Rattus norvegicus: one gene and its partners. The protein of the gene in region 2 interacts with the protein of the main gene of each other region in a pairwise test. Links are inferred from orthologs where the notes say so. Each region holds a gene or a part of one and is shown on either strand. Other genes may lie near its edges. The genes, in order: Tnfaip8l1, Psme3 and Wdr25.

What was found.
Region 1: the proteins of Psme3 (region 2) and Tnfaip8l1 interact in binary tests that used the Homo sapiens proteins (3 or more experiments, as listed by UniProt). The two-hybrid records come from large-scale screens. The link is inferred for Rattus norvegicus from reciprocal best matches to the Homo sapiens genes PSME3 and TNFAIP8L1.
Region 3: the proteins of Psme3 (region 2) and Wdr25 interact in binary tests that used the Homo sapiens proteins (3 or more experiments, as listed by UniProt). The two-hybrid records come from large-scale screens. The link is inferred for Rattus norvegicus from reciprocal best matches to the Homo sapiens genes PSME3 and WDR25.

What each region holds. Positions count from the first base shown.
Region 1 is NC_086027.1:1,074,329-1,078,656, reverse strand, and holds the start of Tnfaip8l1 (tumor necrosis factor alpha-induced protein 8-like protein 1), read right to left. Parts: upstream 2,829-4,328; 5' UTR 2,752-2,828; intron 1-2,751. UniProt on the Homo sapiens protein: Acts as a negative regulator of mTOR activity.
Region 2 is NC_086028.1:86,760,837-86,763,626, forward strand, and holds part of Psme3 (proteasome activator complex subunit 3), read left to right. Parts: intron 1-513; coding exon 514-562; intron 563-933; coding exon 934-1,046; intron 1,047-1,429; coding exon 1,430-1,498; intron 1,499-1,607; coding exon 1,608-1,675; intron 1,676-1,812; coding exon 1,813-1,867; intron 1,868-1,980; coding exon 1,981-2,067; intron 2,068-2,790. UniProt on the Homo sapiens protein: Subunit of the 11S REG-gamma (also called PA28-gamma) proteasome regulator, a doughnut-shaped homoheptamer which associates with the proteasome. 11S REG-gamma activates the trypsin-like catalytic subunit of the proteasome but inhibits the chymotrypsin-like and postglutamyl-preferring (PGPH) subunits.
Region 3 is NC_086024.1:133,574,034-133,578,126, forward strand, and holds the start of Wdr25 (WD repeat-containing protein 25), read left to right. Parts: upstream 1-1,195; 5' UTR 1,196-1,291; intron 1,292-1,670; 5' UTR 1,671-1,698; coding exon 1,699-2,487; intron 2,488-4,093.

The DNA of each region.
Region 1 (4,328 bases), on a different chromosome or scaffold from region 2:
AGAGACTGTTACAGAGCCAAAGAGAGTGTGGATCTTTGATTCAACTTCTACTCCATTTCTTCAGGGTTGGGGTTTAAGACAAGGTCTTATGCTGCAGCCCAAGCTACCTTTGGCTTTACTGTAATCCCCCTGCCTCAGCCTCTTAGGTGTGTTCTACCACACCCAGCATCCACTCAATGTTTTAACGGAAGGGAAATATGAAGGTCATCAGTGTGTGCACTCAGCCCCAGAATTTCTCAGCAGTCTGAAGCCTCTATCCTGGTTCCTCTTACCCTGTCAGGGGTCCCTGAAATGCCAGAAGCCCCCATTAGCACTGAGTTAACTGCCCCTCTGCCTTCTGCCCTCCATGGCTCCCCTCTCCCTCCTCTGCAGCCACAGTGCCTCCTCCATAGCTCTCACAAACAGCAGGACCTTTACACACGCTGAGCCTACCACTTACCATTCTCTCCCACAGGTTGCTACGTGGTTGCTTTACCCTGGAAATCTCAGATCACTCATCTCTACGAACACCCAGTTACCCAGTTCCTTTCTCTTTTCACAGTTACCATTATAACTCAGGACAGAGTCCAGCTTTACCAACTGTGAGGCAGGAGATGGTAGGCGTGGGGCCAGCTTTGGTCACTGCTGTGTGCTGGTGCCATTAACTAACACAGTTGACTTACCTCAGTGTTCGGGAACAGTTTGTTAACTGACTAAGTAATTCCTCATGGCTATGATAAAATGAGAAACTGAGTCAGGGGCCTGGGAGTGACAGAATAATGCTGGGTCAGAACTGGGACTTGAATCCAGTCCCTACCTCAGAGCTTATCCAACTGCAGTCTTCCCCTGGGGTCCACCCTAAAATGGAGAAGGGGGTGGGGTGGCTATTGATCCGGCCTGGGAATCTTCCAGAGCTCTGTATGCTGTCAGCCCTTCCATGGTTCCTTCAACTGGCCTTTGGTCAGGACTGCAGAAGCCCCCACCTGCACAGCACCTTCTGGGGGGTTCTTAATTACCTCAACTGTTTTCCAGATGGGGAAACACAAGGTTGGGGCTCAGAAAAAGACACACTGGGGTTCTTGGAAGAGTGGGCTCACTGGGCTCCTGAATGGAGCCTCACTCTCTCTAAGCTTTCACTGAACACTGGATGGCACCCGTCAGTAGGTGGCACGCCTTCTGGTGGCCCCGATTATTTGGCCTGTATGCTGAGTCACCTCACTTGTAATCATTAAACAAACTTTTGTGGGACGAGTCCTAGTTTGCCTAGGGCTCAGAAAGTAAACTGACGGAGAAGTCTCTATGTCTGTCCATACCCTCAGGATCCACCACTCATCACTGGACTCCCAAGCATGGCTCACCAAGCATGGAAGCCCAGGGCAGGTGTTCTATGATGACTTTCTTTGTTCTGTTACTTTGTACAGTCCCCGTTGCTCCGCCCTCGCCCTCACCCCTCCCAGCCACCCACATCCTAGGTGTGGCCCGGATTGTGAACCTGTTATGTTTTAAAGTTGGTGCTGCCAGGGTTGATCTGCCAGAGTTGTAGAGGGCTCCGCACGTGCAGAGGCTCTGAGTGTGAGGATACCCATGTGGAGAAGAGGCAGCCACTTTGAGGTCCCAGGACAGAAAAACAGGACCTTTGGCACACAAAGCTCATGTTCCAGTTCTTTCTTTCTTTCTTTCTTTCTTTCTTTCTTTCTTTCTTTCTTCCCTTCTTTCTTTCTTTCCTTCTTTCTTTCTTTCTTTTTTAGATGGCTGATCTGTCTGTGTAGTTATGGCTAGCCTGGAACTCCCTTTGTAGACCTGGCCTCAAACTTACAGGCATCCACCAGCCTCTGTTCTAACCACTGGGTGAATACCATGCACCGTGACCCTTGGTTTATGTTATGTTGGGGCTGGAACTCAGGGCCTCTTGCCTACTAGGTGTGCACTCTACCCACTGGGCCACACTCCAGGGTCCCGTTTGTTTTAGACATGGCCTCAGTGTGTAGCCCACCCTGGCTCACCTTCTATTTTGTCTTTGCTTTTAACCCTCCCAGAAGCCTCAGGGAGTCATGAAACAACTGTCCCAAGACAAACAGGGAAACTGAGGCTTATAATTAAGTTACGTGTTCAAGTGAGTCAGGTTTGTCTGAGCTGTGTCCTGACCCCAAGGCAGGCCTCCAGAGGCTTCACAGCTTGGAGCTCAGGTGACCCAGAGGCCTGTTTCCAGCTCAGTGTTCCACCCTGTCCCTTTTCCAGACCTGCTGCTCACAAAGGTGAGAAGCCAGAGTCTGATTCCCTGTCTGTCTCCTCTCGCTGGCCAACCGTAGCCCATGTTCTGGACCCTAGTTTACCCTCCAGGCCACCACTGAAAGAGCCAGAAGGCCACAGACCTGTACCAGGTCACCTGCCAATTATGTGCCAGTCACTGTCCCAGTTCTCAGCTGGTAAAACTGAGTCCAAGCCCTCAGGCAATGGGAAGCTTGCAGTGCCAGTCCCAGTCAGGGTGACCCTGCTCAGGTGAGATTCCTGCATCAGCCAGAGCCACAGTGGGGTCCAGTCGGCCACCTCAGAGAATACCCAGACCATTTTGGAGTCAGGCTGCACGCCTGTACAGGGCCAAGTCCATCCAGTCTCCCCTTGAGGATTACTAACTTAGCCCACAGCAACCTGCTCACAACAACCGATGCTCCCAAAGCCAGTGAAACTGAGGCAGGATGCACATAGGGCGGTGTGGGAATAGGAAGGGACGGGAAAACCCCAGGAGAACTGGTGTAGGACCCCATAGCTCACCTGCTCCCCGCGATCCGTCAAGCCTTTAGTTTTCTGTAGGTGCCTCTGCTGGGCCAGAGGCATTGGCCGCTAGATCTGAGCCGGGCGGCTGGCGGGGAGGCCACGCTCCCGAGAAGGCCGCGCCCCCTCTAGACCCTCACTGGCTCAGCAAATGGTAGCTAGCGCACAGGCGGTGTACAAAGGAGCCAATAGCAGCAAGCCTCTGCCAAGAGGTGCTCGGCAGGAAAGGGGCGTGAGCAAGGGCGTAGCCTGCGGCCGGGGGAATTCCTCCGGAACAGCGCTGAGCTGAGTGCCTAGGCAAGAGCTGCCCAAAGGAGTGCTGAGGCGGGGAAGAGGAAAAGACTGGGACAGAGAAAAATGCAGCACGCGTGCATAGTGCGACAGAGATCCGAGAGGCCAAAGCGAAGAAACACGCCTCCGCGAGACACATGCACCCCTCTGGGCCGGCCTAGTTTACCCACTAGGTAGTTAGAGTGTCATCTGGGACCCCCGTGTCAACTCAACATTTGCCTTGGGACAATCCTTGTGGTTCCTGAGTAGTACGGAGGTGGGTGTCTCTGGGGTAAGGTGGGGGCGGGACACTGTGATGTCTTCGCTAACAAAGGCCGGGCATGGCCAGCTGCCTCCCAGGAGGAGGCTGTGAGACCTGGAAACTCAGTCTGGGAGTGGTTCCCACACCCCCAGTACCCCCAACCTAGGCCAACACCCCCACCTTACTCCAAACTCCACCCCAACTCTCCACCATGGGTCTGCACTTGCTGAACCTGGATGGCCTTGTCACAGCAAGGACACTGGGGGAAGCCTCAGCTGCCCCCGGCCCTCTTCGGGAAGCCCAGATGTTTGCTGGCTACATCCTGACCTTTCCTGGCACGGGCTTTAACACACAAAATTAAATCCTAGCTTTATATCTTATGAGAGATAGAAACTGAGATCCAGAGAGGTTAAGTGACTTGCCTGGAGCAGCACAGACCCCAATGGCTTTCTTGATTTCAAATTATCTGCGCTCTGGGCCAGAAACCTGCAGGGTGCTGAGCGTCACCATAGCCTCCATCCACTCTGTGCCAGGAGCTCAGCCTTGTGACAGCCACACACGACCCTAGACATGGCTCAGTATCAAAAAGAGAGACCACAGCTCTAGATTTTCATACCCCAGATTTGAAAGTATGAGCCAGGGTAGCTAGTGTGTTTTTTTCGGGGGGGGGGGCAGGTGTCACTGAAGCAGGTTCTTGGGCATCTTTTGGGCACCTTGATTCTGTGAGACTGGGGAACCCACAGACATCATAGGTGTGATAAAGTGGGGCTCAAACCCAGCTGTGTGGGTTAGAAGTGTGGTTCAGAGCTGGAGCCTACCCCTTCCACTCGCCTAGAATCCACCAGTGGGGGGCTGGGGGCGTGGCCAGGGTGGAGCTTCTGCCTAGAATACCCAGGTGAAGCCTTGACTAGGCTCTTGTGAGGGTGTGGACTGTCTTCCCTGGTTCTGCCAATGTCTCCCTCACCAGGTCCTCAGAGTCTGGTAAGGGTACTTTGGTGCACTTGATCCTGTGGTGTGGGGACGTGGTCGGGAGTAGAGTGACTTC
Region 2 (2,790 bases):
TTATTGTGTGGGTAGGGAGCTCTTTCCTTCTGCCATATTGGACCCAGAGATCAAACTTGGGTCATCAGACTTGGCAGCAAGTGCCTCTCCCTGCTGAGCCAACCTACTGACCACTTCGGCTGCTTTTTAAATGTGTTCTATTAGTGGTAACTTTGGCCTTCCCAACCAGAATGTAAGTTTCTTTTTGACGAGAACCCCTTTTAAAAACTTTATGTGTGTGTGCATTGAAATTCATATGATAGAGGGGTGGGGATTTAGCTCAGTGGTAGAGTGCTTGCCTAGCAAGCGCAAGGCCCTGGGTTCGGTCCCCAGCTCCAGAAACAACAACAACAACAACAACAAAAAAAGAAATTCATATATAATCTCTGGGGTCCAGAAAGGAATTACACTTCCTTGTACAGTATCTTGTAATGGGCATGCTTGTTGAATGCAAAAATTAAACTTGTTTGTATAGTGTCTGTGATGGGCATGTGTGTTGAATCCACACTAATTCTTGCTTCTTTATACCTTTAGCCCACTTACAAGAAGCGCAGGTTGGATGAATGTGAAGAGGCCTTCCAAGGTAAGAGCTGCTATCTAATCAGCACACTTCACCTGCTGACTAGCCGCCCTGAGATGTAGGATGGATCTGGACTTCAGGAACTGAGGTCTCATTTAATTTCCAAGGTTAACAATCAGCAAATCCTCCTGGCTCAGTCATTTAGTCTTCTGGAACGCCAAGAGGGTCTGGTTGTGTGGATACCAGGGAGGATGCTTAGAGGCCCATATTCCGTGCCTTAGTTTCCCCGTAGGAGTAATTGCTACCTGATCCATCAGGGGTGGTGTAGTCACTTAGAAGAGATTATTACATCCAGCTTAAGGGAAGAAGGAAAAGGTGGAGGCTGCTCTTACTTTTTCACTGCAGTGAACATGTGTCCTTGACATATCTTCCAGGAACCAAGGTGTTTGTGATGCCCAACGGGATGTTGAAAAGCAACCAGCAGCTTGTGGACATTATTGAGAAAGTAAAACCTGAGATTCGGCTGCTGATCGAGAAATGTAACACGGTGAGGCAGGGGTTCGTGCCCAACGAGCGCCTCTGGAACTGTGGAATGATGGGAGGGGTTGGCAGGCTAAGGCCTTTGATTCCTTTGCCCTGGCATCAGTCCCCACCAGCAAGAATCATGTACTTCGGGGGCCGGAGAGATGGCTCAGTGGTTAAGAGCATCGACTACTCTTCTAGAGGTCCTGAGTTCCCAGCAATGACATGGTGGCTCACAATCATCTATAATGAGATCTGATGCCCTCTTCTGGTGTGTGTGAAAACAGCTACCGTGTACTTATATATAATAAGTAAATACATCCTTTCTAAAAAAGAATCATGTACTTCCAAGCCTAAGTAGGAAGGACCAAGGTCCTTCTACAAGTATTTTGTCTTCTCATGCTCTAGGTCAAAATGTGGGTTCAGCTCTTGATTCCCAGGATAGAAGATGGGAACAACTTCGGGGTGTCGATTCAGGTAGTGTGCCCGCGTTGCAAACTCCGCTCCTTCCCTGCTTGCTTTCCCTTGCTCTGTGGTGCTGCAGTAGATGGTGGGGAAGTAACCTGACTCACCTGTTTATCCCCAGGAGGAAACAGTTGCAGAGCTAAGAACTGTCGAGAGTGAAGCTGCGTCTTATCTGGACCAGATTTCTAGGTAAGGTGGTTTGCGCTGGACCTAGGAACAGGGGATGGTGAAGTGGGAGGCGTGCTCAGGGTCCAGGCCCAGGAATGTGGTTGGTGAAGTGGGAGGCGTGCTCAGGGCTCCCTTCAGCTGCTTTTTTTTCCTTCCAGATATTATATTACAAGAGCCAAATTGGTTTCTAAAATAGCTAAATACCCCCATGTGGTAAGTAGGGTTTTGTGGTCTGAGGTGGGGTGGCAAGATAGAGAAGAGAGTAGGACTGAGCAGCCTGTGGGCATTTGGGCCTTGGAAGACGAGCCTCCCTACTCCCCATGCAGGAGGACTATCGCCGCACTGTCACAGAGATCGATGAGAAAGAGTACATCAGCCTCCGCCTCATCATCTCAGAGCTGAGGAATCAGTATGTGAGTACATCAGTCTCTGCCCAGAGTTGTCCTGCTTCTCATAGGCCTGTGGTGATTTCTATAAATCTGGGGTCGGAATGAAAGGAGTCCAGAGATGGTGTCTGTCTATGGTGCCATCTTAGGAGGTTGAGCAGTAGGACCCAAAATTTGAGGCTGGCCCAGGGTACAGAAATAGCTGTTTATCAGCTGGGAGTAGAGAGCATGAACCTCTGAGGGAGTCGAGTTGGGTGTGTGTGTACTAGCTAGGTGGAGGTGCTACACCACACATGGATGCTTAAGCACAGGCCTTGGTGCCAGAGGTGGCTTTACAACCAAGTTCTCCTGCGGGATTCATCTTGTTTGTCCTCAGATAAGGTCTCACTACGTATCCCTGGTTGTCCTGCAGCTCACTGTTGGTGACAGACTTTAAAGTTCCACTGACTTGGGGTTGGGGATTTAGCTCAGTGGTAGAGCGCTTGCCTAGCAAGTGCAAGGCCCTGGGTTCGGTCCCCAGCTGGGGGGGGGGGGGGGGGAGTTCCACTGACTCTGTCTCTCAGTCTCTCAAGTGATGGGATAAAAGACATCTTAATCTGCTTGATTTTTTGTTTTTGTCTGTGTGTCAGTGTATGCACATTTGAGAGTGCAGGCACCTGTGGTCAGCAGAAGAGGACATCAGATTCCCTAGAGCTGGAGTTAGTGACAGTTGAGAGTTGCCGACTTGGGTGTCAGCTCAGCCTGCTCCTC
Region 3 (4,093 bases), on a different chromosome or scaffold from region 2:
CCACTGAGCTAAATCCCCAACCCCTCAGGAAGAACGTTTAAAAGGAGATTCAGTACTGTGTGAACATATGCATTTGGGGTGAAAGAAACAAATTTGGATGCCATGATTAGAATTGCTCTTACCACAGTTGGGTAGACCAGATGCCTATCCGGGGCGCCTTAGGACCTGATCCTGGGCTTTATGCATGCCAGGTAGGTCTTTGGGCTTTTTGGTTTATTTGTTTTTGTTTTGGTTGTTTTTTGAGACAGTTTCTCTGTGTAGTCCTGGCTGTCTTTGAACTCAATCTGCAGATCAGGCTGGCCTCCAACTCAGATGTCCACTTGCCTCTGCCTGCTGAGTCCTGAGGTTACAGGTGTGCACCACCACCACCAGGCTGAAGTTGTTTTTAAAAACAGGGTCTTGCTATGTATCCCAGGGTGGCCTTAAAATCATAATCCTCCTGCCTCGGCTTCACGAGTGCTAGCCTCAAAGGTGGGTGCTGCTATACATAGGCACATCGTTGTCCTCTTGCTTATTTTCTACCTCCTCCTCCTCCTCCTCCTCCTCCTCCTCCTCCTCCTCCTCCTCCTCCTCCTCCTCCTCCTCCTCTTCTTCTTCCTCCTCCTCTTCCTCTTCCTCTTCCTTCTCCTCTGCTTTGCAATGCTGAGGGGAAAACCTGGAACCTTGCATATGTTAGCAAGAGTTCTGTTAGTGAGTTTTAGTCCCAGCCCCACATAGCTTTCCATTTAAAAATTTATATGTTCAGCCAATGGCAGCCTGTGTCTTTACTCCAAGCACTGAAGAGGTAGAGGCAGATGGATCTTGGTGAGTTTGAGGTCAGCCTGGTCTACAGAGCAAGTTCTAGGACAGGCAGGGCTATCCAGGGAAACCCTGCCTCAACGTGCACACACACACACACACACACACACACACACACACACACACACACACACTATAAATAATTATGTCTACTTAATAGAAAATCCATTTTTTTTACTATTACTTGGATTTTTATATATAATGTCTCTATATATGTTTATGCAATATTTAAATTAGGGTTAACATACATATCTCTCCAAAAATGATTTCTGTTTTTTTTTTTTTAACTTTTTTTGTATATATGGCTGGGTGACAGCATGCATGTCAAGGCACACATGTTGAGGTTGGGGGACAATTTTCATGAGCTGATTTTCTCTTTCCACCATGTAGGTTCCAGGGACCAAGCTCCGGCTTGATGACAAGCACCTTTAATCCACCGAGGCTTCTTGCTGGCCCAGACATCATATACTTTATAGTTTTCCCTTTTTAAAAGGTATGTTTTCTATTTTTAAGTGTGCGTATGCATATGCTGTTGGTGTGCGGGCATGTACGTGTGGGTGGGGGTCATCATGGAGGTCAGAACAGGGTGTCGGATCCTCAGGAGCTAGGGCTACCTGTGGTTGTGAGTTGCCTGAGGTAGGCCAGGGGACTGACTTTGGATCCTCTGGAGGAGCTGTATATACTGTCAATCACTGAGCTACCTCTCCTGCGCCAAACATAGCTTCTTTATGTTGAAATATCTGGACTCCATTTTTGTTCTTTATGTGTTTGTGCTTGTGGAGTTTGATGGCTTTAACTTTCAAGGGGACATCCTGCTCTAAAGTGCAGGATCACCCACATCTTCACGGTTGCTGACTCTTGATCTTGTTTAGTTCTAGGGAGCCACCTTCGTGTGACCGTATGGCCTCGCTGGTGGCGTATGATGATTCTGACCCCGAGTCGGAAGCTGACCCTGCCAGAAGTGGGGACGCTGCTGGTCAGATGAGCGACGTCTCTGGTATCAGCAGACCTGAGGTGGAGTTTGCATCTAGCACAGGTGTGACCAAAGAGGGGGCACAGCACACAGGGAACTCTCCTTATGAAGACCCAGGGAAGCAGCGTCTGCCCCTGGCTCGGCTCTGGAGAAGTGACCCGGGGTCATGTCCCAGCCAGAGGCTACAGTGGCCCTCAAAGGAACCTGATAGCACCTTCCCCACCAGTGAGCCTCCTGGTCCTTCTTTGTGGATGAACCGAGCCCCAGTTGGCCATGTGCCCCTAGCAGCTGCCTGCTTTAAGCCACTAAAACCTGCCTGGGATGCCTTCACACCTTCTCACACTCACAGCAAGCTGGAAAGCACCGCTGGAAATGCCAGCTCCTCTCAGAGGAAGAGAGGTGAGGCCTGCGTGCTGCCCTACATCCCCAAGAGACTAAGGCAGCTGCAAGTGCTGAATCCAGAAGCAACTGGGGGCAGAGATGTCGAGCCCCCGGGGTCCCCTGCAGGGTGTGCCCCGGCCCCACTCTGCGTGGCTCCCACAGTGTCCGAGTTCATCCAGCCATATTTGAACAGTCAGTACAGAGAGACTACGGTCCCCAAGAAAGTGCTTTTCCATCTTCGAGGCCACAGGGGCCCGGTCAACAGCATTCAGTGGTGTCCGGTCTTTAGTAAGAGCCACATGCTTCTCTCTGCTTCCATGGACAAAACCTTCAAGGTAAGATGAAGGATAGCAACTCCCAGTGGCTCTTAGGCATAAGCTACTGGGATGCTTTACTGATTGGAGTCAGGCAGGCAGTGGGTGGACACAGACTACACACTCCCTTTGGAAACTTCTATAGTTTTGTTTGGTACACTGGAGAGAGAGTCCTCTATGCTCAGCCTCAGATCTTTGGTCTTTCCTGCTCCATTCCTTTCTTTCCCAAAAAGCACTTTCTTGGGGACCGTAGTCTCTCTGTACTGACTGTTCAAATATGGCTGCCTTGCCATAGCACTACAACGTTAAATAAATTATAGTATGACTAGATGGTAAACATTTTACTTCTCTTGATAGTAATACTCATATGTTTTAATTTCAAGACAGTGTTTCTCTGTGCTGCTTTGGCTGTCCTGGAACTTGCTCTGTAGATCAGGTTGGTCTCGAACTTAGAGAGATCCTCCTGCCTCTTTGGGGATTAAAGGTTACACTAGTACTGTTCAGCATGCATACATTATTTTAGCTCAAGTATGCTGTAGTTCATTTCTTTTCCTGCGGTTGGACATTTTGTTACCTTTAGTAGCACATCCCATGAACTACACTGCTGTAAGCATGTTGCTACCTACATATTCCCTTGCCAGAGCCTGAGACATCTATTCCCCCAAAGCTTATGGCCCAGAGAGAGAGAGAGAGAGAGAGAGAGAGAGAGAGAGAGAGAGAGAGAGAGAAGATATAGATGTTCTATTGCCTGTGAAGTTAGAGAAATTGGACATCTGTTTTCAGGGGGATGCAGTGTGTTTTCTGCTTGTTTGTTTGTTTTTTAAAGACAGGCTCTCACTGTGTGTGGCTAGCCCTGACTGGCCTCGAACTCGATATGTAGACCAGACTGGCCTCAAAGGCAAAGAGATCTGCCTGCCTCTGCTTTCTATGTGCCACCATGCAATACATTTAACGGCAGCCTGTAACTGCCACTTACAGTCAGCAGAATAAGGGAGCCCGAGATGTGTGCAACAAGTAAGCTGTAGTAAGGGGCAGTCGTAAGACCACATCTCCTGAAGTGCTCCCAGCTTGAGGCCAGCTTGGTCTACAAAGCAAGTCCAGAACAGCCAGAGCTTGTTACACAGAGAAACCCTGTCTCAACCCCTCCCCGCAGATACATGGGTCTCTAATTGTAAACCTAGTCTAGGTGGAAAGAGGTGGGTCTTTTGGGCTCTCTGGTCAGGTAACTTAGCTTATGTAGTGAGATACAGACTGGCGAGAGACAGTTTTAAAAAAACAAGGCTGGTGCCTGTCCTAGTTAGGGTTACTATTGCTTTGATGGAATACCAAAAGCACATTGGGGAGGAAAGCATTATTTGGCTTCCATTTGCACATCATAGTCCATCATCTAAGGAAGTCTGGGCAGCAACCCAAACAAGGCCAGAAATTGGAGGCAGGAGCCGATGCAGAGGCCGTGGAGGGTGCTGCTTACTGGCTTGCCTCACATGACTTGCTCAGCCTGCTTTCTTATAGAACCCAGAACCACAGCTCAAGGATGGCCTACCCTTAATGGGCGGGGCCCTCCCATATCAATCACTAATGAAGAAAATGCCCTATAGGCTTGCTTGCAGCTGGATCTTATGGAGGC